4 linked regions of the Elephas maximus indicus genome follow. The protein of the gene in region 1 interacts with the protein of each later gene in a biochemical or structural test. Links are inferred from orthologs where the notes say so. Each region holds a gene or a part of one and is shown in the gene's direction. Other genes may lie near its edges.

Evidence for each region.
Region 2: of the proteins of HSPB1 (region 1) and MAPKAPK2, one has a biochemical effect on the other in vitro, tested with the Homo sapiens proteins (17 studies listed by BioGRID and IntAct, with this or other methods). The link is inferred for Elephas maximus indicus from reciprocal best matches to the Homo sapiens genes HSPB1 and MAPKAPK2.
Region 3: the proteins of HSPB1 (region 1) and CS form a complex in vitro, tested with the Homo sapiens proteins (2 studies listed by BioGRID). The link is inferred for Elephas maximus indicus from reciprocal best matches to the Homo sapiens genes HSPB1 and CS.
Region 4: of the proteins of HSPB1 (region 1) and MAPKAPK3, one has a biochemical effect on the other in vitro, tested with the Homo sapiens proteins (2 studies listed by BioGRID and IntAct). The link is inferred for Elephas maximus indicus from reciprocal best matches to the Homo sapiens genes HSPB1 and MAPKAPK3.

The regions. Positions count from the first base shown.
Region 1 is NC_064830.1:94,249,968-94,256,769, reverse strand, and holds HSPB1 (heat shock protein beta-1), read left to right. Parts: upstream 1-4,609; 5' UTR 4,610-4,729; coding exon 4,730-5,105; intron 5,106-5,742; coding exon 5,743-5,806; intron 5,807-5,929; coding exon 5,930-6,119; 3' UTR 6,120-6,283; downstream 6,284-6,802. UniProt on the Homo sapiens protein: Small heat shock protein which functions as a molecular chaperone probably maintaining denatured proteins in a folding-competent state. Plays a role in stress resistance and actin organization.
Region 2 is NC_064836.1:16,407,964-16,415,189, forward strand, and holds the start of MAPKAPK2 (MAP kinase-activated protein kinase 2), read left to right. Parts: upstream 1-4,209; 5' UTR 4,210-4,538; coding exon 4,539-4,817; intron 4,818-7,226. UniProt on the Homo sapiens protein: Stress-activated serine/threonine-protein kinase involved in cytokine production, endocytosis, reorganization of the cytoskeleton, cell migration, cell cycle control, chromatin remodeling, DNA damage response and transcriptional regulation.
Region 3 is NC_064822.1:116,265,746-116,273,467, reverse strand, and holds the start of CS (citrate synthase, mitochondrial), read left to right. Parts: upstream 1-4,709; 5' UTR 4,710-5,043; coding exon 5,044-5,085; intron 5,086-7,722. UniProt on the Homo sapiens protein: Key enzyme of the Krebs tricarboxylic acid cycle which catalyzes the synthesis of citrate from acetyl coenzyme A and oxaloacetate.
Region 4 is NC_064838.1:54,949,825-54,957,299, forward strand, and holds the start of MAPKAPK3 (MAP kinase-activated protein kinase 3), read left to right. Parts: upstream 1-4,460; 5' UTR 4,461-4,575; intron 4,576-4,831; 5' UTR 4,832-4,883; coding exon 4,884-5,108; intron 5,109-7,475. UniProt on the Homo sapiens protein: Stress-activated serine/threonine-protein kinase involved in cytokines production, endocytosis, cell migration, chromatin remodeling and transcriptional regulation.

The DNA.
Region 1 (6,802 bases):
AGGGGAAAAATACTGCCAGGAAGGCAGGCAGGAAAACAGGAAGCTCTCGTTGCCTCCTGTGGAAGGGGGAGGGGGATAGGGAACGGATAGACAGGGTGGAGGTGGGGCGGGCTGGGCCACCTTCCCTGGGATGTGTCCTGAGCCTGGAACAAGTTCTCTGGTTTTAGGGTGTAGCAGGTTCTATCCTGGTCTCTCTCTCCTCAGATGGGGGCCCGTGGGGACCCCCTACCCTCCTCCTTACCCACACAGCAGCTGGGAGGCTGGACAGGCTTTCCTATTTCCCATTTCCCTGGAAGTATTTTTCCATTTCTTCTAACGGTTTCTAACCGTTCACCTGCGACCCCAGACCCAGGACAACAAGACACAAGTGCATATGCCCAATTTGGGTGTCCCAGCCCTGAGCCAGTACCCCCATCCCTTCCCTCTCTGATATGCTTCTGGAAGCCCCCTGGCCTCCTGTCTGCCCCTCTCTCTCAGCTGCGGGAGTATTTAGCAAACCACTCCTATCACCAGACCCCCTCCACCTGTGGAGGGCTCTCAGGAGACCCAAGGCGTGGGGGTGCCCTGTCCCATGGCCCCATCTCCACAGCCTCTTGCTCACTTTCCAGGGCTCTCTCCCTTAGGCTGGAAGCCCAAATCCACCTCAGCACAGGAATCCCTTTCTCCTTCCAATTTTTCCAGTCTAGGGGGAATTCCTGGGCCCCCACCCCTGTTTCTTACCTTACTTTGGTTTAAAGGGACAGCAGCCCCAAGTCACGCCTGGCCTAGGCTCAGCTGGTCAACAGGGACGGGACATCCACATCTCAGGCCTGGTGAGTGTCTCACCTCCTCCCCTTACCCCTCAATCTCTGCCTCCATTTACCATGTACACCCCCCCTACGGCTGCAGCATTAGACTGCAGAGCAGGTAGGCAGGGCACTGGGGTAGGGAGGACCCTGGAGGAGCAACTGTTGCTTCCTGGCCCTGAAAGGAGTCTTACAGAACAGCCAGTCCAATGGTCTCATTGTGCAGATGAAGAAAATGAGTCACAGCAGCCGGCCCCTGGCCAAGGTCACAGAGTCAAAGACATCCCAGGTTCCCAGACTCCCATTTTTTCTGCTCCATGGAGAGGGGGTGGAAGGTGCTGGAAGATGGATCCCCAGCCCTCCCACCTGCTCCCTCCTAGTCCCCTTCAGCAGTGCTTGGGGAGGGATGACCCCTGGACAATTCAGAAGCCAGAGGCCTAGGAAGCAAGGCAGGCCAGAGATGGGTTTTTGCCCCAGAGGGGCAGTGTATAGAAGCTTCCAGAAAGACCCCGTGCCTGCCACCCCCATGCACTCTAATTACGGCTGCCTACATTTTCAGTTTCTGGCAGGCCCTGTGGCTGGTGCAATCGTCAGCTGTCAGGCCTCTCCAGGGAGCTCAGGCAGCTGCCTGAACACTCTGGAGCTTTCTTTGACCCTGAGCCAAAGAGGGAGGGGCCAGTTCAGCCACAGTTAACAAAGGCCTGCCAAGGGCATGGCTACTGTGGCCAGGGCCTCAGACATGGTGCAAAGGAGGCTGCTCAGGAGCACCCCAGACTTCAGGGCTAGGGAGGAGAGAAGGGGCTGTCTCGGATGCAGGAATGCCCAGACCATACAATAGGTAATGAAGCGGGGTAGGGCTAGCACCTGCCCTGTGGCTTCTGGAAAACCTCTGGGGGTGAGCACTGAAAAACTACCCTTGGCAGCTCAGCGCCCCAGGATGCCAGAGTCGGAGTCTCAAATTGTCAAAGAACAATCGGCCAGTCAGGGCTGACTTCCACCCCTTGCTCTGCTAACCAAGCCCTGTGGCAGGTGTCCGGTATCACCTCCTGAAGGAAGGATGCCTGGTCAGGGCTGGAAGGGACCCAGAGTGCCTGGCCCCACAAGGAACCCTTAGCTGCACACCCCACTCTGCACTCTGGGAGCCTACAACCCACAGCCCTTCCTGGGCTGCCTGGGAAGTCTCTTGACTGATGGGCAGGGAATCAAGAGGCCTGAGTTCCAATCCCTCCCCACCCTTCCCAGCTTTGTCACCTTGGGGCAATTCTGACCCTCAGTTTTCTCATCTGAATAACGGAACTCTGATAAGATACTTTGAAGTAGTAAAGCACATACATACAACTTCGTTGAAGTTGCAATGTCCAAAATTAAAGGCCAGGAGCACTTACTGAGCCCCAGGCCTGTAACAGGCTTTATTGCATTTGAGACTCACCACAACCCTGCAGGGTGGGCGCATTTATTATTTACCCCATTTGACAGATGGGACATGTGGGCCCAGAAAGACCACCAGTACCCAGATTCACTCCCAATCCCGTCTAACCCCCAAATGCAGTTTCCTACCCCCACCCCCATCTCGCCCAGCGCGGTGCTGCCCAGAGCCATCCATGTCCCTCCCTTGTGATTGACTGGATGATATGAAAGTTGTCCCTCAAGAACTGACCCACTGAAGATGGATATGCATTCTCAGCCCCCAGATCGGGGTGCTGTGGGGCCCCCTGGGTTGCACAACTTCCTCCTCCGGCTGGGCCAGCGGGGATGGACTCTCCACACCCTGGTTTCAGGTGAGATGAAGGGAGCGATGAACGGAGCTGTGTTCAAAGGGCTGGCAGCCAGCAGACGGCCCCCACCCAAAGGGCGTCTGGGCCTGGCAAGGCTGCACTTGAAAGCATCCTGACCACACCTGACAGCTCCCTCTAGGGTGGGGTGCCCTGGGCTCCAGTCTGGGCCAAGGTGGACAGGCAGGGGCAGATGAGGCCCTCCCTGGTTCCTGATCTCATCTCTGTTTTATAGAGCTAGGGATAGGTGGGGCTGGACATGCTAGGGAGCAAAGGCCTGGGCTTCCTGAAGCTGAGACCCTTGGGGGGCGGCCAGTAGCTCCCAGCAGAAACCCACTGGGCTTATGACATGATCCAGCAAGAGAAATGGGGCAGAAGTCAGGAGTCCTGCCTGCCTCCCACCCTGGGCTCTCCAGACCCCCGGAGCTCAGAGGCCTTTCCAGAGGTGGCCTTGGCTTCGGGGCCCAGTCCTGGCTTTTCCCCGATGAGCAGCAGGGAGGTAAGAAAGAGAGGTGTCTGTGTGCTCTCTTTCAAAGAGGAAACCGAGGCTCAGAGAGGGCATGAGACTTGTGGCCACCCCCAGCCCATCAAGATGAGCAACCTCGAGTCCTGGCTCCCATTCTCTCAGGTATGCCTGGAGTCTGGGCCTGGCCAGGGCAAGGCCTTAGTGGCCTTGGTATAGGTCCCCTATAGACCTGGCAAGAGGAGGGCCTCAGCCCCAGCATAAGGGTAGCAAGTAGAATGGGCTGGGAAAAGAGGGACCAGAGGACCCCAGGGCAGGAGCCCCACAAGGGTAAGAGCCCTGGATACTAGGAGGCAAGAGGTCTGGCTCTGTTAGTGTTTCAAGTGGACTCCAACTCATGGAGACTCAGTGTGTGTCAGAGTAGAACTCTGTTTCATAGGGTTTTCCAATGGCTGATTTTTTTGGAAAGTAGGTTGCCAGGCCTTTCTTCTGAGGCTCTTCTGGGTAGACTCGAACCTCTAATCTTTAGGCTGGCTGTCAAGTGTGTTAACCATTTGTACCACCCAGGGACTCCATCTATCACCTAGAATCCCTCTTTCCCTTTGTGCTGTGGGAATCAGATACAAAAGGGGGTTTGAAATCATAAGATGCAAAAGGACAAACTGAGGCTACAGAAAGGAGGTGCTTTGCCCCAAATTACACAGTAAGTCAACGACAAAGCCCAGACTAGATTCCAGATTGCTGCACTTCAGGTTCCCTGTCCAGTGCTCCTTGAGAAACAGATATAACAGGAGATTTGGCAATAAGCTTCCCCCACCACCACCCTCTCAGGACTAGACCTGGGGGTTTCTAAGCTGGGCCAGCCCAGTTTACTAGGGGCAGGGAAGAATGTCAAACCCACACATGCCAGCTCCTCTGCCACAGGGCTGGGGTGTGGAGAGAACAGACTTGTACACACTATCCTTCCTCTGGGTTTTTTTTTTCATCCTTCCTCTTCCCTCTTGTGCATTTCAAGTAGATAATAATAATAATATTAACAATCATTAGGTACCAGGCCCTAAGGCCTGGCACTAAGCCACAGAAGCCTTCATTATTATAAGCATTATTATTACATCATCTCCATTTTCCAAATGGGGAAACTGAGGCACAAAGAATCTCATTTGCCCAAACTAATACAATTAGGGGCAGAACCAAGATGTGCATTCAGGCAGAACCAGAGTCTGGTTCCTAACGACCACACCAGATTGTTTCTTAAGGCATTGTATCACAGACACAGTGTGGTTCAAATCCTGCCTCCGCTGCTTACTAGTTGTGTGGCCTGGGACAAGTAACTCAAACTCTCTCGGCTTGTCCTCCTTAACAAAAGAGTGGGACTGTCCACTGACCGCAGCTCAGAGCTTTAGCGCCCAGGCCTGCAAGTGTCCGGCCAACACTAGTACGTGCGCTCCAGCCCTTTTTTTTTTTTTTTTAACAACAGAAGGTTCCCGATGTGGGCAGGGCCTTCCTCGCCTCACCCCCGCCCCCGCTCCCGCCCCCGTTGGAGGAATGCAGGAGGAGGGACAGACCCCAGCCAGTCATTGCCATTAATAGAGACCTGAAACACCGCCTGCTAAAAATATCCGGTTGGAGACCCATAAAAGCCCTAGCGGGGCCAGCCGCCCCACATTCTCCGAACTTCAGCCAGACGCATCCAACCGAGCTGAACCAGCATGACTGAGCGCCGCGTGCCCTTCTCGCTCCTGCGGAGCCCCAGCTGGGACCCTTTCCGCGACTGGTACCCGCTCCACAGCCGCCTCTTCGACCAGGCCTTCGGGCTCCCCCGGCTGCCCGAGGAGTGGTCGCAGTGGTTCGGCCACAGCGGCTGGCCGGGCTACGTGCGGCCGCTCCCTGCAGCCGCGGTCGAGGGCGCCGGGCCCGTGGCCGTGGCCGCGCCTGCCTACAGCCGCGCGCTCAGCCGGCAACTCAGCAGCGGCGTCTCGGAGATCCGGCAGACGTCCGACCGCTGGCGGGTGTCCCTGGACGTCAACCACTTCGCCCCCGAGGAGCTGACGGTCAAGACCAAGGACGGCGTGGTGGAGATCACCGGTAAGGCCCCGCTCCCCTGCAGGCGGACGAAGTTAGTATGGCGAGAGCGGGCCTCCTGACTTAGCCAGCCTGGGGTGAAGAACTAGGCCGGGTTGGGGGGGGGGGGGCGGTTGAAGGAGTGGGCGCGGGGCCTGTGGGTTCGAAGTTAGAAGTAGCCAAGGACCAGGAGCTGAGCCGCCTGTCATGGCCACTCCTCCCGTCTGTTTCGCCTTCTATATTAGGGGGTAGTTCCTCAGGGCCCTTTCAGCTCTAAAAACGGCCTGTTTAGGGAAGAAACACCCCTTCCATCGTCAACTCCCAGCCCCACTCCCCAAATAATCAGGCTTTCCTGCGCCCCACCGTGCTGCGCCGCACCCGGCGTGCTGTTGGCATGTAGCGGCGGGGACGGTCCCGGCGCTGCCCCTGCCCGAGTCTCTGCTGGGGGCGTGCAAGTGCTCAAGCGCCTGCAAGGCCCCGCGAGCTGGCGCAGTGCCCCCACGGTCCAAAAGACCGGAACGAATTTTCCAGGACTTTCTGAGAGAGGGCCCGGGAGAGGCGGGTCCCCCAAACCCCTAAGTCCATCAGCGTCTGCCTTGCGCCCCAGCCACGCCAGGGCAGGTGGCGGGGCCCCTGGTTCATGACTACCCCCTCCCCACAGGCAAGCACGAAGAGCGACAGGACGAGCACGGCTACATCTCCCGCTGCTTCACCCGGAAATACACGTGAGTCCTGGCCCCAGATTGTCCCGGAGATGGGGTGAGGGGGCTCACGGGAGGGAAGGGGCTGGGTGGAAGGCCGCGGTGCCTACCCTGTGTAACTCTTGGCCTCTCTCTTTGCATGCCCAGGCTGCCCCAGGGTGTGGACCCCACCCTGGTCTCCTCCTCCCTGTCCCCTGAGGGCACACTCACTGTGGAGGCCCCGATGCCCAAGCCAGCCACCCAGTCTGCCGAGATCACCATTCCTGTCACCTTTGAGGCACGTGCCCAGCTTGGGAGTCCAGAAGCTGGGAAGTCCGAGCAGCCTGCTGCCAAGTAAAAGTCTCGACCTTGCTGCCCAAACACCCCCACACCCCAGTAGCCATCGCTGGCCATCCCCACTCACCAATCTGTATGCTCTTTTGATACGTTTACCTTCAGTTTTTCTCAAATAAAGTTCGAAGCAACCGCCAGGTGCAGCCTCAGACTCTGGTGTTTGTGGAGGGCTGTTGTGGGGGGGGGTTAGTACCCTGCACACTCACACACACACACACACTCACACATTCATTGAAATTGCTGAGGGGCTACCGGGAGCCAAGCCCTGGGGATATAGTGTATATGTGACAGGACACAGCCCTGTCTTTAAGCCCCATGACCATTAAGAGAGAGGTAATGTTTTTTTTAATGGCTGTAACTAGACAAAACCTCAAGGGCCAGGTGCGGGACAGGGAAAACCAGGAGGGGCAATTGACTCTGGCTTTCAAACTCAGGAACATAAAGACAACTAGCCTGGGGTCAGGTGAAGGGGGACAGAGAAGGGCTGGGGGAGGGGAGCGACCTGGGAGCTCAAAGTTCTTTCCTGACCACATTATCCTCCAGAGAGGGGCAGGACCATGCAGAAAGTGTGGCAACTCCAAAGTGGCTTTCTGAGGGGGGTGGGGTGGTAGCCTCAACAAAGCACCTAATCCTCTGGCCCCCATGCCCAGAAATGCAGGCTGGGACCTGCAGAGAGTGAAGTGAATG
Region 2 (7,226 bases), on another chromosome or scaffold:
TGAGCAGTTATCATCTTCATCATTAGCATCATCATCAGGAAAGGAATACTTGGAAGCTATCATAAGGGGTCTCTTGTTTTAACCTCTTCTTGCTAATAAAGTCACCCATATCTACTTCCCTTTTAAGACATTTTCAGCTTCATCTTTTATGATGGTTGGACACCTAAACTTTTAAATGTGTCCACATGAAATAAAATTATACAAAAAAAGAAAGAAAGGGCATGATGAACATAGGATTGAAGATGATGGTTATCTTGGGCCAGGGAAACAAAAATAGGTTGGGGGAGGGGGTCGAGGTACCACCTGTTTAGATGTAAATCATTGTCAAACGCCTAGTTTTAATTTTGGGTAGTGGGTTCACAGGTGCCTATTACCTTATTAAAAATAACAAGTAACTACATAAAAGTGGAGGCACAAGGGCCACCGATCCAGTGATGAGGCGACGTCATGAATCAATGATTATAAGTAATCCATTCTGTGTACCTGAGCTGCTTACATTGTCTGTGTACTATCTTGCACAGCGTCTGTTTGCTTGTCAACTGTAGATAAAAACAGTACTTTCTATTGGCATAGACTTTTAACCCTTGAAGTTTTTATAAATCCATAAAAACTGTTTATTAAGTAGCTCATTACAGGCAGCTGAAAGCTTGCTATTATATAAGTAGGACTTTGGACTTCTTTGTGCCCTATGGGAAACTATTTTATTTTATCCTTACAATAACCCTCTGTCATGGGTTGAACTGTGTCCCCCAAAAGTATCTGTCAACTTGGTTAGGTCATACTTCCCAGTATTGTATGACTGTTTACCATTTTGTCATCTGATGTGATTTTCCTATGTGTTGTAAATCCTAACGCTATGATGTTAATAAGATGGATTAAACCAAACCAAACCAAACCAAACCAAACCCACTGCCGTCAAGTCGATTCCAACTCATAGAGACCCTGTAGGACAGAGTAGAACTGCCCATAGAGTTTCCAAGGAGCGCCTGGCGGATTCAAACTGCTGACCTTTTGGTTAGCAGCCATAGCACTTAACCACTACGCCACCAGGATTAGTGGCAGTTATACTGATGAGATCTACAAGATTAGTGTTTTAAGCCAATCTCTTTTGAGATATAAAAGAGAAAAGCAAGCAGAGAGACACAGGGACCTCATACCACCAAGACAGCAGCTCCGGTAGCAGAACGCATCCTTTGGACCTGAGGTTCCTGTGATGAGATGCTCCCAGACCAAGGGAAGACTGATGACAAGGACCTTCCAAGAGCCTACAGAGACAGAAAGCCTTCCTCTGGAGCCAGTGCCCTGAATTTTGACTTCTAGCCTACTGGACTGTGAGAGAATAAGCATCTTTTGTTAAAGCCATCCACTTGTGGTATTTCTGTTATAGCAGTCCTAGATGACTAAGATACCCTCCAAGGTAGGCAGGGCAGATGTTATTATCACTATTTTACAGATGAGAAGAGGGAACTAAGAGGGTAAGGTATGTTCTTGAGGTCATATAGCTAGTTAATACCACAATGGACTCTGGTTCCCTTGCCTAGTGCTTCTTCCTTTAGCCCAGCTCGCTCCTCAGTTATTCATCCATTTAGGCATTTTTTTTTGTTAAATGTCCCTGGGTGGTGCAAATCATCTGGATTTGACTACTAATCTAAAGGTTGGTAGTTTGAACCCACCCAGCAGTACTGCTGTAATCTGTTTCAGTAACAATTACAGCTAAGAAAACTCTACGGAGCAGTTTTATTCTGTAACACTAGGATTGCCATGAGCTGATATTGACTTGAGGTCAATGGATCTAGTTTTGGTTTTCAGGTAGGCACATACATGTGTGTGTTTTCTGGGGCTGCGTGTGTAGTATATGTAATCTCTGTGCACTGTCTATGTGTCCTTAGAGTCCTGCATGCCGCTCTAGGGCTAATCTGCCTTACTTCTCAACTCCATGAGGATTCCAGTTGTCATGTTATTCCTAGGTCATCAGGCTTTAGCATCTCCCCAGAGCCCCAGCTAGATAGGAAGGCGGCTTTGATATCAGGGACAGACCCTTAGGCAGTGGGCTCAGCACAGGGGAGCAAGGCCAGCAATATACAAATAATGATAATATTTAACACTTCATGATAATTTAGTTTACAGTTTATGAAGGGTTCTCATGTGCACTATCTCAGTGGATTCTCACTCAACCCTGAAAGCAGATTTTATTATTTTCTTCATTTTCTAGACATAAAGAGACATTAAATGGCTTGTTCAAGATAACTCAGCTGGAGGACAGGCGTGAATTCGGGTCATTTGTCTCTGATTTCTATTCTCTTTCCACTATGCCTTGCTGCCTCTGAAAGAGCACCAGGAGCTATACTCTTCCTAGCCTTGTGAGAGAAGCCAGTCAAGTGCAATGCCAAGCAAGGGGAAGCCCTGTCCCCTACTCCTCTGCAGAGAGAAAAAGGCCAACCCGGAGCCCTGAACAGCCCCAGACCAGTGACCCCTCTACCTGAGAAAGAAATTGATCAGACGGAGCCTTTCTCCCCCCATCCTTGTGACCCTAATTCTTTGGGGGATCTCCCAAGCCTGCCTCAGGTGATAGCAATACATTAGAACTGGGGAGGTGGAGGTGTTTTCCAACCCCTGTGGTTTTGGGTAGCCTCTTTGTCTTTGAAGAGTCAGGGAGCTCAGGGGAGGTGTCTAACCCTACCCGTCCTTACAGCACAGGAGGAAGCTCCCTGCTACCCCAGACAGAGGATCGCTACTCCTTCAGCTCCCGGGGCTGGGTCTGTGCCTCTCTAAAGATATCTAGTACATGTCTGTGTCTCCTTACCCTCAAAATTGTTAACACCATCCATCACTGCATGGTACCATGTACACAGTCAGCACTAAATAAGTGCTCCTTAAAAAGAATGAATGTGCTCCTTGGTTTGTAGAGCAAGCCCTCCTGTCTCAGGAGGGACAGAGCCAGACAGCGACTCCTGCCCTTCCCTCCACCCCCTCACTCTGGCCTCCCAGCGGGAGAAATGTCTTCTGGGAAAGGTGAGGGAGGGAGGAGTCACTGGTACTTGTGCCTTCCTCTCCTGGGCTCCCTCCTCAAAAGCCTGGTCCTCAGGAAGTTCTCTGCTTCTCCCTAAGCTGAGTTTCCCCTGACAGGGGGCTCTGGACTTGTGGAGGGACATAATAGGGGCGATGGTGGCCATAGGTCAAGCCACATTCTCTAATTTGGCCCACGAGTAATTAAGCTGAGGTTTTGTGTCTTACTTCTCAACTGCCCTACTAGTCGGAGAGGGGAGGAGGTCAGCAGGGATGCATTTGATAGTCATGCCCAGGCCCCACCAGAATGCATGCCCAGGCCTCCTGGCAGCTTATATTCAGGGCCTCCCACTCATTGCCCTGATCCAGGCTATGCTATGGGACCCCCTAGCTCGCTGGCATCTTCTTCAGATACATGGGGCTACCCTGGGCCAGAACTAGGCTTGTTCAGAAACGCCTGCTTCTTCTTATGCCTGTAGGTTCAGGAAAAACATTTTCCACGTTGGAAATCAGAACCTATTCCCCAGACTCTCCCTTTTCTCCATGATCTTACCTGATACTCTCCACAAGCCCATGAGAAAGGCGTCACTACTCTTTCCACCGAGAGAGAGGGGCAAAGTCTGTCTTTCTCTGATCATGCAGCCAGGCAATTGTAAAGGCTCACCTGATTTCAGGTGATCTGGATCTCGACCCATCCTCTTCCCATCCCGCATCCTTTTAAATTCATATGAAAAACAATACATGTATGAGGAAATAAATCCAAAACTCATAGGTAAACGAGGGAACTGTTCAATTAAGTAAATATCTAATATTAGTATCACACGTGTTTCTAGGATGAACGGCCCCAGTGATTTCAACAAACTCCTGAGCGCCTATCAAGCTCACACTTGCCATCCCTTCTCCTTCAAAACATACCCCCTCCTCCAATTCGCTGCTGCTGTTCTAAAAGACCCAGACGGTTGGAGAAAAGTGGATTTTCCATCTGAATTATGTAGCTGCTTTCCTCCACCACCCCTTTCCCTTTGTGTGGTACCGGGGAAGAACTAAAATCTCCCCTTTTCGTCTCGCGCCTCCCAGCCACTGGCGCGGCCCACCACGCTGCAGGCGCCTCGCGTCCTCCCCTTTAAGACACCCACGCTTCCCGGCTCCGCCTCGTCTCCCCAAGCCCCGCCCCCGGCCCTCCCCTTTAAGGGCCAGCCCCGGACGCAGACGAGGCTGTGACGCGGCCGCCGGCCCGGGCTGGGTACATTGTCGCGCGGCCGCTTCCCCCCGGCCGGCCCCCGCCGTCCCGCGTTCCACCGAGCGCCAGGCCCCCGGGGGGAGGGACGAGGGCCGGTGGGCGCCAGCGGCGGACGGCGGGACCCACGGAGCCCCGCGACCCGCCGAGCCTGGAGCCGAGCCGGGGCGGGGAAGCCGGCTCCAGCCCGGAGCAAACTTTCCAGCCGGGCGGGGGGTGGCGGGGACCCGGTCCGGAGCCGGAGGAGGGGGCGGCCGCGGGCCCTCCGGCCCCTGCGCCCGCGTCTCCGGGCACCATGCTGTCCAACTCCCAAGGCCAGACTCCTCCGGTGCTGTTCCCCGCCCCGCCGCCGCCGCCGCAGCCCCCCGCCCCGGCTCCGCCGCACCCCCCGGCCCAGCCGCCGCTGCAGCCCCCGCCGCAGTTCCCGCAGTTCCACGTCAAGTCGAGCCTGCAGATCAAGAAGAACGCCATCACCGACGACTACAAGGTCACCACCCAGGTCCTGGGGCTGGGGATCAACGGGAAAGTTTTGCAGATCTTCAACAAGCGGACCCAGGAGAAATTCGCCCTAAAAGTAGGTTTAGGGCCGGGGGGAGGGGAGGGAGAAGGGGCGCTCCCGGGACGACCCCCTGCTCTCCGGGCGGCGGGGGCGAGGAGTCGCCTTCACTTCATCTGCTGACCCTTCGGGGGCGTCCGGCGCCGGCGGGGTGAGTGGCCGCAGCGGGGCGGCCGGGGTGCCCGAGTGGTGCCAAGTGCGCGGCTCCGGGGAGCCGAGCCGGGAAGGTCAGGTCGGATCTGACCCGCTGCCGGCCCAGCCGGGCTTCCGGTCACCTCGGGGCGCGAGTGGCGGGGACTCGAGACGACTCGTGCGGACTCTGCCATTTTGGGGTTTGAGCGGGATCCTGCCGAATCGGGACGGTTGGCTTTGGGACCAATTGTGCTTAACCCCGTCTCTAGGAAGTGATTTTCGGAGGCCGTGGCTCCCCATCCTCTCCTCCCTCCTTTCTGTCTTTCTGCGGGCACAGAAGGCCCATTACTCATTGAGCTGGTTGGTCGGTTGGTTTGGAGAAGTCGGATCTCTGAGGTTTATTTAGCCTCGCTCCTTATTTGGGAGCCGGAATGTGTGATTTCACTTCCCTGGGCCTCGCGAGCGCGGCCGTGCCGCCTCGGGGCGCGCTGGCCCGCCGGGGCAAGGCTGGAGATTCCGCGGGGATACCGTCCCCCGGCGCGGGGGAGGGATTGTTTTGATCCTAGAGCAGGCCCCCTCCTACCTCCGGTGCTTGTGCGGCTCCAGATGGGAGGCCAGCAGGCTCCGGCGGGTGTCTGCTGTTTCCATGGCTCCATCGATCTTCCTAAACCGAATCTGTAAACCTGGGCTTGGCTCCGTGCTGATTCCGCGACTCGGAGGTGGCCTCTTTAGCCGTGGAGATGGACAGTAGGAGCGAGCGTCAGCCTTGGGCTGGGGAAACCCAGCCTTTCATTTTTTTTTTATTTTTTGAGGGGGCGTGGTAGGGGAGAACACTTCGGAAGGTAAATAGAATGGACTTGGAGGTCTGATGAGTTGGGGTGGGTCCCCAGACAGTGTGAGCCAGTCGTTCAAGGGTCACCAAAAAGTAGGTGTTCTCCCTCAGAGGGGTTTCAGGTCAAACCACATCTCTAAAGGTGACACACCAGGTCTATTTCCCCTGGGCCGTGTTAATGATTGGAGGAGGAGAAAATACTTCCTGTGTTATATTTTTCTCTTTCCCCTCCACCCGCACAGCTGGCAGTATTTCAGCTGTTAAATACAAAACTCAGATATGAGTTATGGGCAGACTGTTGGAATATATAATCAGATATAATAAAAACCTGGCACTTTGGGGCTGTAGAGGGCAAGCATGAGCAATTCCCAGATTTTAAGGTCTCTGAAATGGTTTTCTTGTTGCTTCCATCCTCTCTTTTGGGGAGAGCTTTCCGCTAGCCTGAACTCTTTCAGATTTCTTTGGTTTTTATGATTAGCCGTTGCTGTGGGCTCTTGATGGTTTTCTCATGCTGGGTGTTGTAGAGGGAGTAGATGTGTGTCTCGGAAGTGTTGGTGTCTGTGCCTTAGACCCTTCTTTCCATACTTGGAACCGGGAAAGGGAGAGGGAATGTTTGTCTTGTCTGTGGCTCTGACCTTGAGGAACAGAGTTGAGTGAATACAGTTTGACCACAGTTAACCTGTACCCTTGAGGAAGTGACAGACATGCTTTCCAGGAGAGTTTTCTATCCCCTCTGAGACGCCATCTGCTGTCACCCATCCGCAGTTTGGGGACACTGGCTGTTCATTCTCTTGGATGGAGAGAATGTTGTATAGACCTTCAGAACAAAAGCTCTCAACTTCTGCTCCATGTATGTGTAATAGACACACAAAACTACCCTCTAGTCTGCTTTTAGATGGCAGTTCGGGTTCTTTTGTAAAAATCGGGGAAAGAGAGTTGGCTTTTTCACTTTTGAATAGTTTTGAAAGGAAAAATATAACAATGTTTAAATGACACACGGAGTCTAGTGGGTTTTCATGAGCATAATTTATCTTTCTCAGTTAGAAGTGGGTGAAGATTGAAGTCAGAGTCTGTTTTGACAGGCAACCTGCTCCCAGACCTTACAAGTTGACTCAACTGTTAAACTGTAGATTTCCCACACATCTTTGCGTAAAAGCTTAATAATAGAGGAAAAAAGGAGGATGAGGCATGAGGAGAGTGACAGCAGTGTCAACAGCCCTTCCATATCCCAATACTGGTTAAGGTGTAATTACAGCTGTGGGGGCAGTCTGGTTCCAAGAATTCTGCTCCAGAGACATAGACCAAAGAGATTTCTAGATCTTGACTTTTGATTAACTTAACCTTAGGTGCTGAGTAGTGAAATGCTTTTCAAAACCAGGAGTTTTTGATTATAAACCAAAGGAGGAAGATGTGGTGGGGAGGAGAGATTGCTCTTTTGGGAATGTATGAAGGAAAGACGGGGA
Region 3 (7,722 bases), on another chromosome or scaffold:
CCAGACTTAATGGTTTGACTGAGACCAGAAGAATCCCGGCAGTCATGGTCCCCAAACCTTCTGTTGGCCCAGGACAGGAACCATTCCCAAAGACTACTCATCAGACATGGAAGGGACTGGACAATGGGTAGGAGAGAGATGCTGATGAAGAGTGAGCTACTTGTATCAGGTCGACACTTGAGACTGTGTTGGCATCTCCTGTCTAGAGGGGAGATGGGAGGGTAGAGAGTGTTAGAAACTGGCAAAACGGCCACGAAAGGAGAGACTGGAAGAAGGGAGCGGGCTAACTCATTAGGGGGAGAGTAAATGGGAGTATGTAGTAAGGTGTAATTATATGTGACAGACTGACTTGATTTGTAAACTTTCACTTAAAGCACAATAAAAATTATAAAAAAAAAAAAAGATTTACAGCCTTAGAAACCCTATGGAGCAATTCTACTCTGTCCTATAGGGTCGCTATGAGTCAGATCAACTTGTTGGCAGTGGTGGGGTTTTTTGGGGTGGCAAAAATGGTTACGTACTTGTCTGCTAGCCAAAACGTTGGCGGTAAGAACCAGGGGTGGATTATCCAATAGGTAAGGTAAGCATGGTGCTTACATTGCTTACCAGATCATCTGTAGTGGACAATTTCACATTTTTTCACATCATCAAAGATTCTGCTTCTAGGTATGTGTAGCATCTGTCTCTCTCCCAACCCCACAGCACCTTCCCGCAGAATCAAAGCCTCTTTTCAAATCCTCACTGATGGGTGAATGACCCAGTAAACAAGGTAAGCATGGGCTTACTTGTGCTTACTTACTAATCTGTAGTGAACAACTTCACATCTTTGATGTGGTGAAACTCATATGAAGTGGTTCACTACAGATGATCTAGTAAGCAAGGTAAACACCGTGCTCACCTTGCCTATTGGATAATCTGCTCCTGGTTTGAACCTACCAAGAGGCCTCGGAAGACAGGCCTTGCTATCTGCTTCTAAAAGATCACAGCCTTGAAAACCTTATGGAGTGGTTTTACCCTATACACGTGGGGTTGCCGTAAGTTGGCATCAACTCTACGGCAACTAACAACAACATTCCTATTTTACAGGTGAAGAAACTAAGCTCAGAGAGGTCAAGTTTCTTGCTAGTCAGCAGGGAGCTAAAGCTTCAGCCCCAGTGATCATCTTAATCCTAGGTCAGTGGTCTTTCTGCTACATCTCACTTCATGTAGTGGAGTCTCCGTGTGATCTCCAGTGGCTGTGTAAAGTAGTACTTTTCTTTGAAAACCGTCTCCAAGTTTGAAGGCATGCCCTCTAATTCTAGTATTCTGTAGTGAAAAATTATATCCTCTTCAACCGTGTTTCCAAACTGGTTGTTCTTGTAAGAAGCCCATTCTATCTCTCTGGTCATTTTAGGTGCTAATCATGAAAAAAGTCCTCTTCATTATGCATTCTAGGGATCACCATTTATCATGTATTTCAGGTATAAAGGTTTTACAGATGATTAAGCCTATAGTTTTGGAAGAAGTACAGCCAGAATGCTCCTTAGAAAGGAGGATGGCAGGACTTCCTCTTACGTACTTTGGACATACTATCAGGAGAGACCAGTCCCTGGAGAAGGACATCGTGCTTGGTAAAGTACAGGGTCAGCAAAAAAGAGGAAGACCCTCAACAAGATGGATTGACACTGTAACTGCAACAACGGGCTTAAACATAGCAATGATCGTGAGGATGGCGCAGGACCAGGCAGTGTTTTGTTTTGTATATAGGGCCGCTATGAGTTGGAATCAACTCAACAGCACCTCGCAACAAGACTATAGTTCCTTATCTTTTAAAATATCTTTAAATATAGGAACATATAAAGCTGATGTCCCTAGGACACAATGACTCAAAAATCCCCTTTCTGAGTTGCAGCTTTTAAGTCACAGTCTCTCGTATAAAAAGTACAGCTTAGCAGTTAAGATACAGGCTCTGAAGTGAGGCAGACCTCAGTCTGAATTCTAGTAATGCCAATTATGAGCTATGTGACCCTAGGCAGGATACTTTATCTAAGCCTTGGTATCCTCCTTTTTAAAGATACTATTATCACCTATATCCCTTAGAATTGCTGTGAGGACTAATGAAGACATGCATATGCCACATTTAGGTAGTATTTGGTAACAGTAAGTACTCAATAAATTTTAGCTATTAAATGCAGGTGTTTAGGTTACTGGTATGGACAGTTTACCAAACCAAAAAACCAAAACCACTGCTGTCAAGTTGACTCTGACTCATAGCGACCCTATAGGATGCAACAGAACTGCCCCATAGGGTTTCCAAGGCTGTAATCTTTATAGAAGCAGACTGCCACATTTTTCGCCAGTGGAGCGGCTGGTGGGCTCAAACCACTGACCTTTTAGTTGGCAACTGAGCCCTTCAGTGCGCAACATGGGCTTCTATGTGGACAGTTTTAACAAAACCCACTGCCGTCAAGTTGATTCTCACGGCAACCCTATAGAACTGAGTAGAACTGCTGTATATGGTTCTCAAGGAGTGGCTGGTGGATCCCAACTGCCAACCTTTTGGTTAGCAGCTGAGCTCTTAACCACTAAGCCACCAGGGCTCCTGGTGGAGTTTGAGTTTAAAGTTAGCTACAGTCTCCTATTTGTTCTTGGCCACAAGGGGGCACCATTGTCCCTGTCCATTTTAAAAAGGTCCTCCCAAGGTCATGATAACCTCAATACTCAGCCTTCTGTCTCTTGCCGCTTCCAGTTCCGAGACACTTAGTTGTATTTGGACCTAGAGCTCACTTGGATGCTTTATTCATTCCAATCTTTCCCCATTCTCTCCCCACCTCTCCAGGTCTCATCCATATTTAGAAAGAGATTCTAAGCCGGCTCCTGGGAGATCTCCTTTAGCCCCTTTGGTGCCTGGGCTTTCCCACTGGCCTTAAAGCAGTGGGTATCAGGATTCGACAACTTTCAAAAAGTCCATAAAGTGTTCATGACACTAGGCTCCAGGGCCCTGTGTCAAGGGGTTTAGAGCACTGCTGTTGCCCACCCTCCCTCCAGTGACTTAGAGGTCCAAAATAGGTTATCCTTATGTTGTTGTTAAGTGCCGTTGAGTTGGTTCCAACTCATAGCGACCTTATGTACCACAGAATGAAACACTGCCCAGTCCTGCACCATGCTCGCAATCGTTGTTAGGCTTGAGCCCATTGTTGCAGCCACTGTGTCAATCCGTCTCGTTGAGGGTCTCTTTTCTGCTGACCCTGTACTTTACCAAGCATGATGTCCTCCAGGGACCGATCCCTCCTGCCAACATTCCAATAGGCCATCCAATAATTGTCCCTTTGGTAGCCTCACCCTGATGATGCCACCTATCTCTTGGGTTACTGAAGTTCAGTCCTCTGGTCTGCTGGCTAGTCTCTGTGGATAATTAACCAGAGGGAAGAGAGTCAGGTCAGATTATTCTAGGGTTATGAGGAAATCATCTGTGAGAAGCTAAATGGGGAGCAAATATTGATCAATAGAGCTTTGAAGTCCTGAGGAGGTAGCTGAGGTCAGTGCTTCCTCTGGGCATTGCTTGGCTTCTCTTTATGACGTTCTTTCCTAGTACCCACCTATCTGATCCCCAAGCCAGAGGAGCATTCGTTAGTAGGTATGAGACTGGATATGAGGAAACCTGGGAAGATAAAAAAGGAAGCTTTCTTTTTTTTCTCCAAAAGCTATAAACTGTGTTGTGTATAAACTAGGCCTATCAAAACCTGACTTAGATGGGTACTGTGATCTCTGAACCTCATTAATGTTATGTAAGAAGATAAAGGGACTGTTCACTTGAGGCTTGGGGTTTGTAGATAAGGTACCCTGGTCCTATAAATTCCCCTTTGCCCCTGGGTCAATGACAATGACAGGTTTAGGGAGGTGGAAATGTCCTAAGGTCTTGTCCATCCAAAGAGGTAAGAGAGTGGCGTGGAAAATCACTTTAGTACCATAGGTCATTCAGTGGTGTCTGGAGAGCACAGGATAAGTGAGTACATGGCATAGCCAAGTACTCACTTATCCTGTGCTCTCCAGACACCACTGAATGACCTATGGTACCCAAAGATCCTATGGAAGTGATGTGACAAAGAGGATGTCTAATGCCTGATCTTGGATAGGGGTTGATCTGCAGCTCCTGATCTTGTGGTTAGATGTAGAGTGGTCTGGCTGTATAGGGTGTGTGACTGGGGTGGCAGTGACTAATGCCCAGGACCTAGAGGCTCTGGCCAGTGCTGGGAAGCCTTCATATTAAGGGGGTGTTTTTAAGACTTGGATTTTCTGGCACTAGAGCAGAACTGACAGCCCACAAAGAGCACTGGATATTCAGGCGCCTGCCTTTGCTCCCATTCTCCACACATTGCGGTCTGTTAGCATCTATAATACCATGGTCTGTGCTGACCTCAAATGAGCTCTACCAAGCGGCTAACTCTGGCAATCACAGCCCACGTCCCCATGATATCACCTCCATAGCCTTATGTCTTTAACCAAAGCCATTCTTCGGGAGAACATGCCAAGGGGGTAGGAGGAACGGGCAATAATAGGTTAAGGGATTGACTCCCGAGAACCTTCAAATATCGAGGTCCTGGGGCTTTTTCTCTAATACCTTAGAATTAACCTCAAATGTGTAAAGGGAAGGGAAAAAGCCGAAGAAGTTAACTGAGTTCTCAGGCACATACTTAGCCACCTACAAGATCCCCCGCCTCCACCCTTACCCTTCGTTATCCTAATCCGGCTGGTCCAATCCTCTCGGCCACAACCGCCGACAACGGCCCAGGCTCCGCCCCATATCCACACCGGACCAATGGCCTTACCCCGGGCTGGTCCCCTGAGAGGGACGGGATCCGGCTCGGGGCAGTAGGCGGGGCCTCACTGAGGACCCCGGGCTGGGCCCCGCCGCCGGTTCGTCTACCCTTTCCCTCAGCCGCCTCCTTTCAACCTTGTCTACCGGTCGGTGCGGCCTCTGGTGCAGCGGCGGCGGCGGCTTCCGTTCCTGCCGCAGCTCTCTCCCCTCCCTCCCTACCCACCAGATCCCCGAGCGCGCCCGCCATGGCTTTACTCACTGCGGCCGCCCGGCTCTTCGGGGCCAAGGTGAGCGACTAGGGGAGGGAGCGCGCCGTCTCAGGGTGGGGCTGAGGCGACTGCCAGGCCCTCGCGCGCCGGGGTCTCCCTCTCCCATCCCTACGCACCCCTGCGCATTTTAAAGGGATTGAACGCTTGGCTGGCAGCCAGCCCTGCGTGGAGCTCTCGAGACCACGTGCTGCGTTGGCCTTCCAGCTCCTGGGTGTGCAGTGGGCTGCTCACCTCTGGTATGCGACCCCATGCAGGTGGGGAGGGCGGGCCCTCCTGTCCCCTCAGGTGTATAGGGTGGAAGAGGGTGATGAATGGCCTAGGAAAAAGGAGGAGCCACGATCAGAGTCGCCAGTAAAGAGGTGGTGTGTCCACAGGAGTTTGCTCCAGAGAGGAGAGGTCGGGGTAACGGGTGGGCGGGGATGAACAGAAGTGCTCATTCTGTTCTTTGGGCAGAGTTGGAGCAGTGGCTAATTTCGCCTTCTGCCTTGTAGGGAGAGCCTTGTCAGTTCCTGAACTCCCTGTTTCTTCTCCTCCAGCCCTGTTATTTAAACCTTTAGTGACCCAGCCGAAGCAGTTCCTGCTAGAGAGGTGGGACTTTCAGGTCCTGTTTGTCCTTGGGACTCTTGGACTTACTTTTTATATAGGAATAGTTTGGGTGGGGTGGAATGCTTCTATAAAACCTCCTGCATGATTATCACATGTGACTGGAGAAGGAATCGCAAAGAATGTTCTCCCCACAGTAGAGGCTAATAAGTGAAGATACTTAGGAGGAGATAGTATAGCCAAGGTCACATGACCAGCCCTACTACTTGCTCAGGTTTTGCTGCTATTAAGTTTACCCGGAAGAAATTTCTGTTATTCTTTGGGACTCTTTAATTGACATTTGTTGCCTTTTGGATCATAAGAATATTGTTCCAGGTATTTATTGCTTGTATTCAAATTGCCTGTACTGTTGGCTCTGGGTAAGGAGCCCTGGTGGTGCAGTGGTTAAAGCAATCTACTGCTAACTGAAAGATCGGTGGTTCGAAACCACCAGTGGCAGTGTGCTTCCATAGAGATCCACGGCCTTGGAAGCCCTATGGGGTCGCTATGAGTCGGAATCACTGGATGGCAATAACTTTGGTTGGTTCTGGATAACTTGGTCCTTTAAACAGAAACTGCCGTGCTGAGGGAACTAACCCTCTAATCCAAGCAGGGATGACCTTGACTTATGCAAAGAATTTATACTTCTGCCGATAGATTAAAGCTGCCAACACCTGAAACAAAAGAAAGTTTTAAAATGTTTTTGCCTTGCTGTGTGTTATCTTGCATGGTTGGCTGAGATAAGGTAAACCTGTAGAATTTACCTTGGGGTTCTTCCAGGCACCCAGCAGTAAGATAGAGGCTGGTCATTTGGGAGATAATTATCTTACTTGGCTGTTGCTTCTCTGGGAAAGGAAGCCTCTTGGGAAGTGAAGCAAGTTCTAGATAGTGTTTTGGCAGAATAGGGGATACTATAATTAGCTCATTCCTGAGTTGCTAACCCAGACCAGATAGTCTAAGCCTACAATAAATTTGAAAAAGGTCTTAGACTTTACCTTTTGAATTTGTTTCATCTTTTAAGTCTCTGGGGAATCTCAGAAAGCATTTGGGATGACAGGGATACACAATCTTGCTATCATTGGTTTTTTTACTTCTTGTTAGAGATGGACCTATGGATCCCAGAAACCTATAAATTGGAAGCCGTTAGAAGGTGTTTGGGCCTTAAAACTAGTAAAGCCCGGCTCAAGAGTGGAAATTTTCTGAGAACAGAACATCCTGCCCAGGATACCAAGAAGCCTTTCAATTTGTCAGCATTGCTAACACCTGCCTGAGCTTTCCAGATTAGCCTGCTGCTTCATTGTTAGTCGACTTTACTTTTGCTGTTAAGGCTAAATAGTTTTCCGACATGGGAGAACTGACCCCTACCACTTTGACTTTCAGGGACAGGTCTAATTGCACTTTCCTGGGAAGAGTTTTTTGTTTTGTTTTGTTTTGTTTTAAACCTTTCTGGGAAACAGAAATGCTACACATTGTTGTATTGTTGAAACCCACTGGCAGATTTTTTAAATGAACGTCTGAGTTGGAGGAATAGACTGATCAGAGCCTTGAGATCATTTGACTTCTTGTTTATTCAAACAGATTAATACTGAGCAATGGCCTTAGTATTGCCTGTAATATTAATAATACATTACTATTAGTCTTATGATGTAAAAACTGCCTTTTCATGGATGATTTTGGTTTGGATTTGGGCTGAGAACTGGAATAGGGCCAGTACTTCACTTCTGGACTCCTGAAGTCAATGTGACTTAGCCAACCCTAGCTAAAGGGGATTATTTCTTCTGTTAAAATTGCCCCATCCTCCCAAGTTAGGATATTTGATAAACTTTGAGTAAGTCAGTCCAGAGGTGTTTGTGGATTATTTCTGGACTTTTTCAAAACAAGACACTTAATACCAAAGGTTCTTTTACTGCAGACCTACCCCACTGAAATTGGGGTAGTCAGACTAATCCTAGTCTAAAATTGGGTTCAACAAAATCAAATCAGTTTTGTCCTGTGAAATGCTAGGCTTAAAGCCCAAAACTTTTAAAGGCAAGGGCACGATTCACCTCTGGGTTACTGTGCCCTCCCTTTGGT
Region 4 (7,475 bases), on another chromosome or scaffold:
TAGATATCCTTCAGGACCCAGCTTGAAGGCTCCCAGTGAAGCTTCATTGCCCCTAGTCCAGTCAATGTAGAGTATCCCCTACAGAGCTCAGTGATTGGGCAGTTCTGCATGTAAACCAAAGGGTCTCAAGGATTTTGGCCTTACCGACGACCCTTTGGGAATCTGACAGCACTGCGCACCTCACCTGCATACTGGGAACATTGGTGTGCCCTTCTTGCGCCTGCTCACCCCAGTCATTGCAGGTTCCTCAGGCCTTTTGCCCTGGCTGCTCCCTGTTCTGACTGCTGGGTCTACACTGCCACCCAGCGGCTCTCCTTCACATGGCCTCACTCACCCTCTCCACAGATGTTCCCTTCCATGAGAACCCCTTCCCTGCACGGCGGAGACTGGCCTTGCTGCAGGATCCTCCTACCCCTTCCCACCCAGAACAGTCACAGTAGGGGCCCCAAGAATCCACAGCAGTGCCTTCCCCGAAGTCAGGCTCATTTAGTCTCTAGACTCTCACATGTGCAACCCTCTCCCCCATCTTTAGCCCCCCCCCCACCCAAGTCCTCACTGGGCCCCTTGGCCGCTTTGAGCTGTTCCCAAGGCCTCAGACCCGTTTTTCCTTAGACACACAGCTATCATTGACTGCGATGTGGCAGAGTCAGCCACCATGAACCCACCCCTGTCCAGGCCCAGCCATCCCACATCTCACCTCCTCCCATCAGTGTGAAGGTGGATGTGGTGGCATATGGTTGCAGGGCTAATGAATGATGGCCCTTCTAGATCATGCCACACAAGCAGTGAGGGTGAACCACGTCCTGACTGTCTTGAGTTAATGAGCAGTTGCAGAACATCTGTCTACGCTGGACCTATGTGGGGAACGTGCGTGCCTGTGTTAGCATGGACAGTGGTTACAGGACCTGTGACAGGAGAGGCATCACCGTTGCTTACTCTTTACACTTCTATATGGTTTGAATTTGTTCCAACAAACAAGTTGAACTTATGCAATTAAAAATTTTGAATAAAAAAGACCAACTTAAAAAATAGACTTATAAAATTTTAGAGCAATTGTAATCTCACTCCATTTTTTAAAAAAGAAGACATCTTCGTGGAGACCACAACATGCACCAGATGCCCTGGGCTGGGCCAAGGAGCCAGTCTCCACCCTCTGCTGTCTAGCCCTTTGCTTACATGGGACCCTGCCTGTCCAGAATGAGACCTCGCTCAGCCTTGGTTTTGCCTAGCCTAAACCAACTACCTCCAGAGGGCAGTTCCTTCTCCAGCCTCTAAGCAGCAGAACTTCCCAGATTATAGGGCCTCCTCCCAGACTTGCAGATCTTGAATCAGATTCTCAGGTGGGGCTCAGGAACAGAAGTCCTAGATTCAGCTGGGCATAAGTGTGTGTGTGTCTGCATGTATGCCTGTGTATTGGAAATGTGCATGCCCATGCAAGCACATGTGTATGTGTGCATGTGCACATGTGTAAACACATGAGTGTGCATATGTATGTACATGTGTGAAGGTATGTGAGCTTGTGTTTGCAGTCGTGGATGTGTCTGGGGGGTTGGGGAAACACATGAGAGGAGAATACAGTTCGAGAGTAAGAGATGGGCCCTGGAGCTGTGCTCTGTGGTTGGGATGGGGGCTCTGCCATGATCGCTGGTCACGTAGGTCTCTTCACCTCTCTGGGCTTGTCTGCAGTGCCGCAGAATAGGTACAGCCCTCCCTCCTCCGGTGGCAGTGAGAAGATCATGGGGCCCAGTGTCTGGCCCCCAAAAAGACTCAGTATGGCTAGCTGAGAGCATCCTTGGAGACACCTGCTTCACTGCGCTCTGCTAGGCTTGAAGGGACAGAGTCCTGGCATCCTCGGCCCCACTCAATGCCTGCACACTGGAGGTACCCACCAATAGTTTATAGCACTGCTTCTCACTCACGGAAAGATCATCAAGCTCTGGCGGAGGCAACTGAGATTGGGGGGGGCGGGCGGGAACCAAACCCTTTGAGGTCGAGTCGTTTCCGACTCACAGCGACCCTATGCGGAGGAGATGCGAGGGGGAGAAGGGCACAAATGCCTGTCTTCAGGAATGAGCCTGTTCTTGCAGTCCTGGTGTCCACGTGCGTGCAAGCGTGTGTGTGTGTATGTGTGCGCGCGCGCGCGCACTAGAGGATGGGGGGGGTGGGGGGTGGGTTGCCAGATCCCAATTCCGAAGTCCTGAGAAGGATTACTGGAGAAGCCTTTGGGTGGGACAGAGGCCGGTACCTGCAGTCCTGCCGATTGTCTGTAGATGGCAGCAGAGGCTAGCGCAGCAGAGGACTGCCCAGCGCCGCACCTTCCCCGTACGAAGTTGTTGTTAGGTGCCCCTGAATCGGTTCCGACTCATAGCAACCCTATGCACTACAGAACGAAGCACTGCCCGGTCCTGAGCCATCCTTACAATCGTTGTTATGCTTGAGCTCATTGTTGCAGCCACTGTGTCAATCCACCTTGTTGAGGGTCTTCCTCTTTTCCACTGACCCTGTACTCTGCCAAGCATGATGTCCTTCTCCAGGGACTGATCCCTCCTGACAACATTTCCAAAGTATATAAGATGCAGTCTCGCCATCCTTGCTTCTAAGGAGCATTCTGGCTGTACTTCTTCTGAGACAGATTTGTTTGTTTTTTTGGCAGTCCATGGTATATTCAGTATTCTTCGCCAACACCACAATTCGAAGGCATCAATTCTCCTTCAGTCTTCCTTATTCATTGTCCAACTTTCACATGCATTACGGTGCGATTGAAAATACCATGGCTTGGGTCAGGCGCACCTTAGTCTTCAAGGCGACATCTTTGCTCTTCAACACTTTGAAGAGATCCTTTGCAGCAGATTTGCCCAATACAACGCGTCTTTTGATTTCTTGACTGCTGCTTCCACAGCTATTGATTGTGGATCCAAGTAAAATGAAATCCTTGACAACTTCAATCTTTTCTCCGTTTATCATGATGTTGCTCATTGGTCCAGTTGTGAGGATTTTTGTTTTCTTTATGTTGAGGTGCAATCCATGCTGAAGGCTCTGGTCTTTGATCTTCATTAGTAAGTGCTTCAAGTCCTCTTCACTTTCAGCAAGCAAGGCTGTGTCATCTGCGTAACACAGGTTGTTAATGAGTCTTCCTCCAATCCTGATGCGCCGTTCTTCATATAGTCCAGTTTCTCGGATTATTTGCCCAGCATACAGATTGAATAGGTATGGTGAAAGAATACAACCCTGACGCACACCTTTCCTCACTTTAAACCAATCAGTATCCCCTTGTTCTGACCGAACAACTCCTCTTGATCTGTGTAAAGGTTTCTCATGAGCACAATTAAGTGTTCTGGAATTCCCATTCTTCACAATGTTACCCATAATTTGTTATGATCCACACAGTCGAATGCTTTTGCATAGTCAATAAAACACAGGTAAACATCCTTCTGGTATTTTCTGCTTTCAGCTAGAATCCGTCTGACATCAGCAATGATATCCCTGGTTCCATATCCTCTTCTGAAACCGGCTTGAATTTCTGGCAGTTCCCTGTAGATAGACTGCAACAGTACAAAGTTAAGGTGGAGGATTTGCAGGAGAAGTGCAGCCCCTACCCTGTGCCTCTAGATGAGTTGTTTCCTCTCTGGGAGCCTCAAGTTTCCTCATGTGTAAAGTAGGGATTATTTGGTAGCCTTTGTATTGGGAAAAGTGGACCAAAATACGTAAGGGATTACCTTAGTAGGCAGGCTCAGAATGATATAGAGACCTGAATGTGGAAGGGAAAACCACAAAGCGAATAGAGAGTATTCGTGTCACCTGGAGGGGGCGACTTCTAAAACGCAACACCAAAAGCCCAAACGTAAGCTGAAAAATTGATGGATCTGACCGGATCCAAGGACTCTGTACCTCAAGGGAAAAAACGAGCCAAGGACGAGCAGGAGGTGCACAGAAGCAGACAGGTTTCCAGTGCGGCAGAGACTCCCCAGAGTTACTGGGGAAAGAATCGCAAATCAAACACCAAAGAGATGCCACTTTGCCCAGCATGCTGGCGAACATTCAGAAGTTGGGTATGCTGGCGGTTGGCGGCAAGTAGGGAAGGCGGAAGTCTCCTGCCTTGCAAGCCAGACTGGAGGGCCGCCCGGCAGCGTGCAGAGAAAACAACCCCATTCAGGTGGATATCTGAGGCTCCAACAGAAACAAGACGTCTTGCTCTGTCACCTCCTAGGTCTCTCGTAAATTTCGGGGCTCGCACAAACCACTTGGGACTGGGCTGTGTTGGCGCAGGGTTCTCCTGGGACCGCCCACAGAGCCAGGGAGGTTACCGCCCCTCAGAAAGCCCCGCCCGCCCGTATTTCTGCCGGGACTCCGGGGCGGGGCCGGCCAAGGGCTGCTTCCCTCCCCAGCCGAGTCCCGCCTGGCCCTTTAAGGCTCACGGAGCGGGGCCCCAAGTCAGGATGACGCGCGGGGGGGCGGTCACGTGGGCCGCCGGCCGCAAGACTCTCGGCCCAGGGCGCTCCGCGGTCCTCGGTTCCCGCGACCGCCGCCCCTGCCCCTGCCCCCGTCCCGCGCCGCTGCCAGGTGCACCGCCGCCAGGTACGCCCTCGCTGGGTCCCCTCCGCGGCCCGCCCTGGGGACCTCGGGGCCACTCGGCGCCCGGACCCTTCCCTTCCTGACACGTGCCCAGGGCGGACTCGCTCGTGTCTGGTTGCGCGACCACCGCCTCTTGCTGCGCGGAGGTACTCAGGCGGTACAGCCTTGTCCCCGATCCAAAGCCCAGCCCAACTCAGGGGCTCCAGGACTGGGGTGCTGGAAGAGTCTAGGAGGGACTCACTCTTCCCCTCTCCCTCAGGTGGTCCTGGACGCACCAGGCTGGGGCCACCTCTGAGTGCCCCGCGGGGGCCATGGATGGCGAAACAGCAGCGGAGCAGGGGGGGCCCACGCCCCCTCCGGGTGCACCCGGCGGACCCGGCTCCGGAGGCGATCCAGCCTTCGGGGGGCGGCGGGAGCCCAAGAAGTATGCGGTGACAGACGACTACCAGTTGTCCAAGCAGGTGCTTGGCCTGGGCGTGAACGGCAAGGTGCTTGAGTGCTTCCACCGGCGCACGGGGCAGAAGTGTGCCCTGAAGGTCAGTGACCCCTCGCCACGGCTTGGGGTATCCCAGAGGGCACGACAGCAGAGGTCTGCGCGTGCAGGCTATGGCCCAGGTCCCTGCCAAGCCTCCTATGCTCAGCGTCACGTTTCATCCTCATAAGCCCCTGTGTGGTCAGGACCATGGCACTCCCTGCTTTACAAATGGGGAAACTGAGGCTTAGTGTAGCTAAGCTCTGGGTGTCCCAATGAGCAAGGGATGCAGTCAATATGGTTAGGGCCTCTATACCCGGAAGCTGGGAAGGAGTGCCTCCTCACACAGGGATTCTGGCTGGGCCTATGTGTGTTCAGGCCCCAGGGGAGCCCTCACTCAGCTTGGGTGCTCCCTCTGTGATCAGCTCCTCTGGCTGTGATGGGTCTGAGTTTCCCTCTGCCTGAGGTTGAGTCCTGGCAGGGCTTGAAGTGGGACTGCTCTCTCCTGGTGGTCCACTGCCTGCCAGGGCCAGGAGCCTCCTAGGGCTGGACAGAGGACAAGGCCGATGCCCATCACGCCTGTGGGCAGGAGGCTGCTGATGGGCTCCTGCTGAGTCACTGGCCCCCTGTTAAAAGGGGCAGGCCTTGATCCCAGCCTGATCCACCCTGGCTCCTGGACAGAGGAGAGCCCAGCCATCTAGCCACAGCAGAGCAGGCCAGCCATCTAGAGGCCTGGCCCAGGCCTTGCTGATACTGGTGGAATCAGGGGGATCTGGGGGTGGCTGATCTAGCCGTGTGGTTCTGATTTAAGTCACATAGTTCTGTGCTCAGGACCTCACCCCATACCCAGAATTCCTCAAATCTGTCGTCAGCTGAGAACTTTGCTCATCTGCATCTTGTGCCAGTAGCCACCTGAATGGGTGGAGTAAGGCAGGCAGAGTGGCTCCTGGAGATTAGAAGTACAGCAAAGGATCTGAAGCTGTGGTTATGAGCCTGAGCTCAGAGTCCTACGGATACGTCTCTAATCTCAGCCCTGCATTTGCCAGGGAAGTGTCCTGGACTCTTGAAGCCAGCTGTCCTCCTCTATTCAGGGGGAAACATAAGAGATTGATGTAAGCTTGAAATGAGATGATAAGGGCAGAGTACTTGGTACTGGGCCTGGCATAGGGCTTGTTTAGGGCACATGGTCTGCCAGTATCTGAGCATGGGCCTCGGCCCAACACTTGGTGTCTTTCCCAGGGGTACAAAGATCAATGGAGGGCTTGTTTCTCCAGAATAGCCTTGGAGGGGATCTGAGGGGTCCAAGGGGAGGCTCAGGGCTGGATTGGTGGGGCGGTCCCCAGACCCCACTAACTGAGCAATGATACAGGGTGGGAGACTTTTTGGAGTCCCAAGCAGAGAATTCTCTGAGTCCTTTAGGGAAAAAGTGGCTCCTCTGAGGGGCTATGGGGATAAGGGAGAGGAGATTGGGAGTCTATACGCATCTTAGCCCCTTCTCCTGTGCTGGGGTCATGGGGCTGCCTGGGTAGGTGAAGGACCAGTTCAGGCCAGAAAACTGCTTCTTAATACTGAGACTTTGGCCCTGTGTCAGGGCTAACCTCTGAGCAGCCGCCATGCTACTCCAGATGCCATGTGTGAGGTGGGGAATGGGTGGGAGGCTAGAGTCCTTGGAGCCAGGCATCACCAACTTTAAGCAGGGTTGATCCTAGCCCCTTCTCCACAGGTGTGTGTCCATCTGTTCATCTGGTGAGTGACTTGGGGGAGCTTCTGTTTTTCTACTGTAGCAACTTCCAGAGCACCTCCTCTTGAATTTAGGGCCCTGTTCTGGTCTGGAAAGTGGGACAGGCCTAGAGTAGGTTCCTGTGTCTCCTCCTCTAGGTTTTAGAGGTAAACGTGGCTGGAGGTACTAACCTCAAGTTGGTCCTCAAATATGGCATGGATTAGATGTGGCATCCCCCCAGTACCTTCCTGTTTTCTCCCCTCCACTCCTCCACTGACCAAGCCTGGTAGGCCTCACCCGGCTAGGCCAGGGCCTCCCCACCTCTCAAAGCAGTGCTGACACAACCTCTGGGTTGCTGGGAGACTCTGGGCCTGGACTGGGGACCAGCCTGGCACGGTCATTGTACCTTACTGTAAATGGCTGTGGCCCTGAGGAGGGAGATGCCATCTCCCTGCTTCGTAGCCTCTGCCCTTTGCCTAGTGCTGCCCAAGTGCCCCTGGCCAGGACCTGGGTTCTCTGCATGTGGGCAGGCCTGGGCCCAGGGAGTTTGGTCAGATCACAAATGGGTCCCAGCTGTCTACTCAGCTGCCCTAGCTCAGCCTGGGTGGGTGCCATGCACTCTGCTTGTCCTTCTTCCTCCCTGGGCTATACCCCAGGTCTCCTGGTTGGCCTGTCCTCATCTCATAGCCTGTCTAGTCTCTAGCCCAGGTT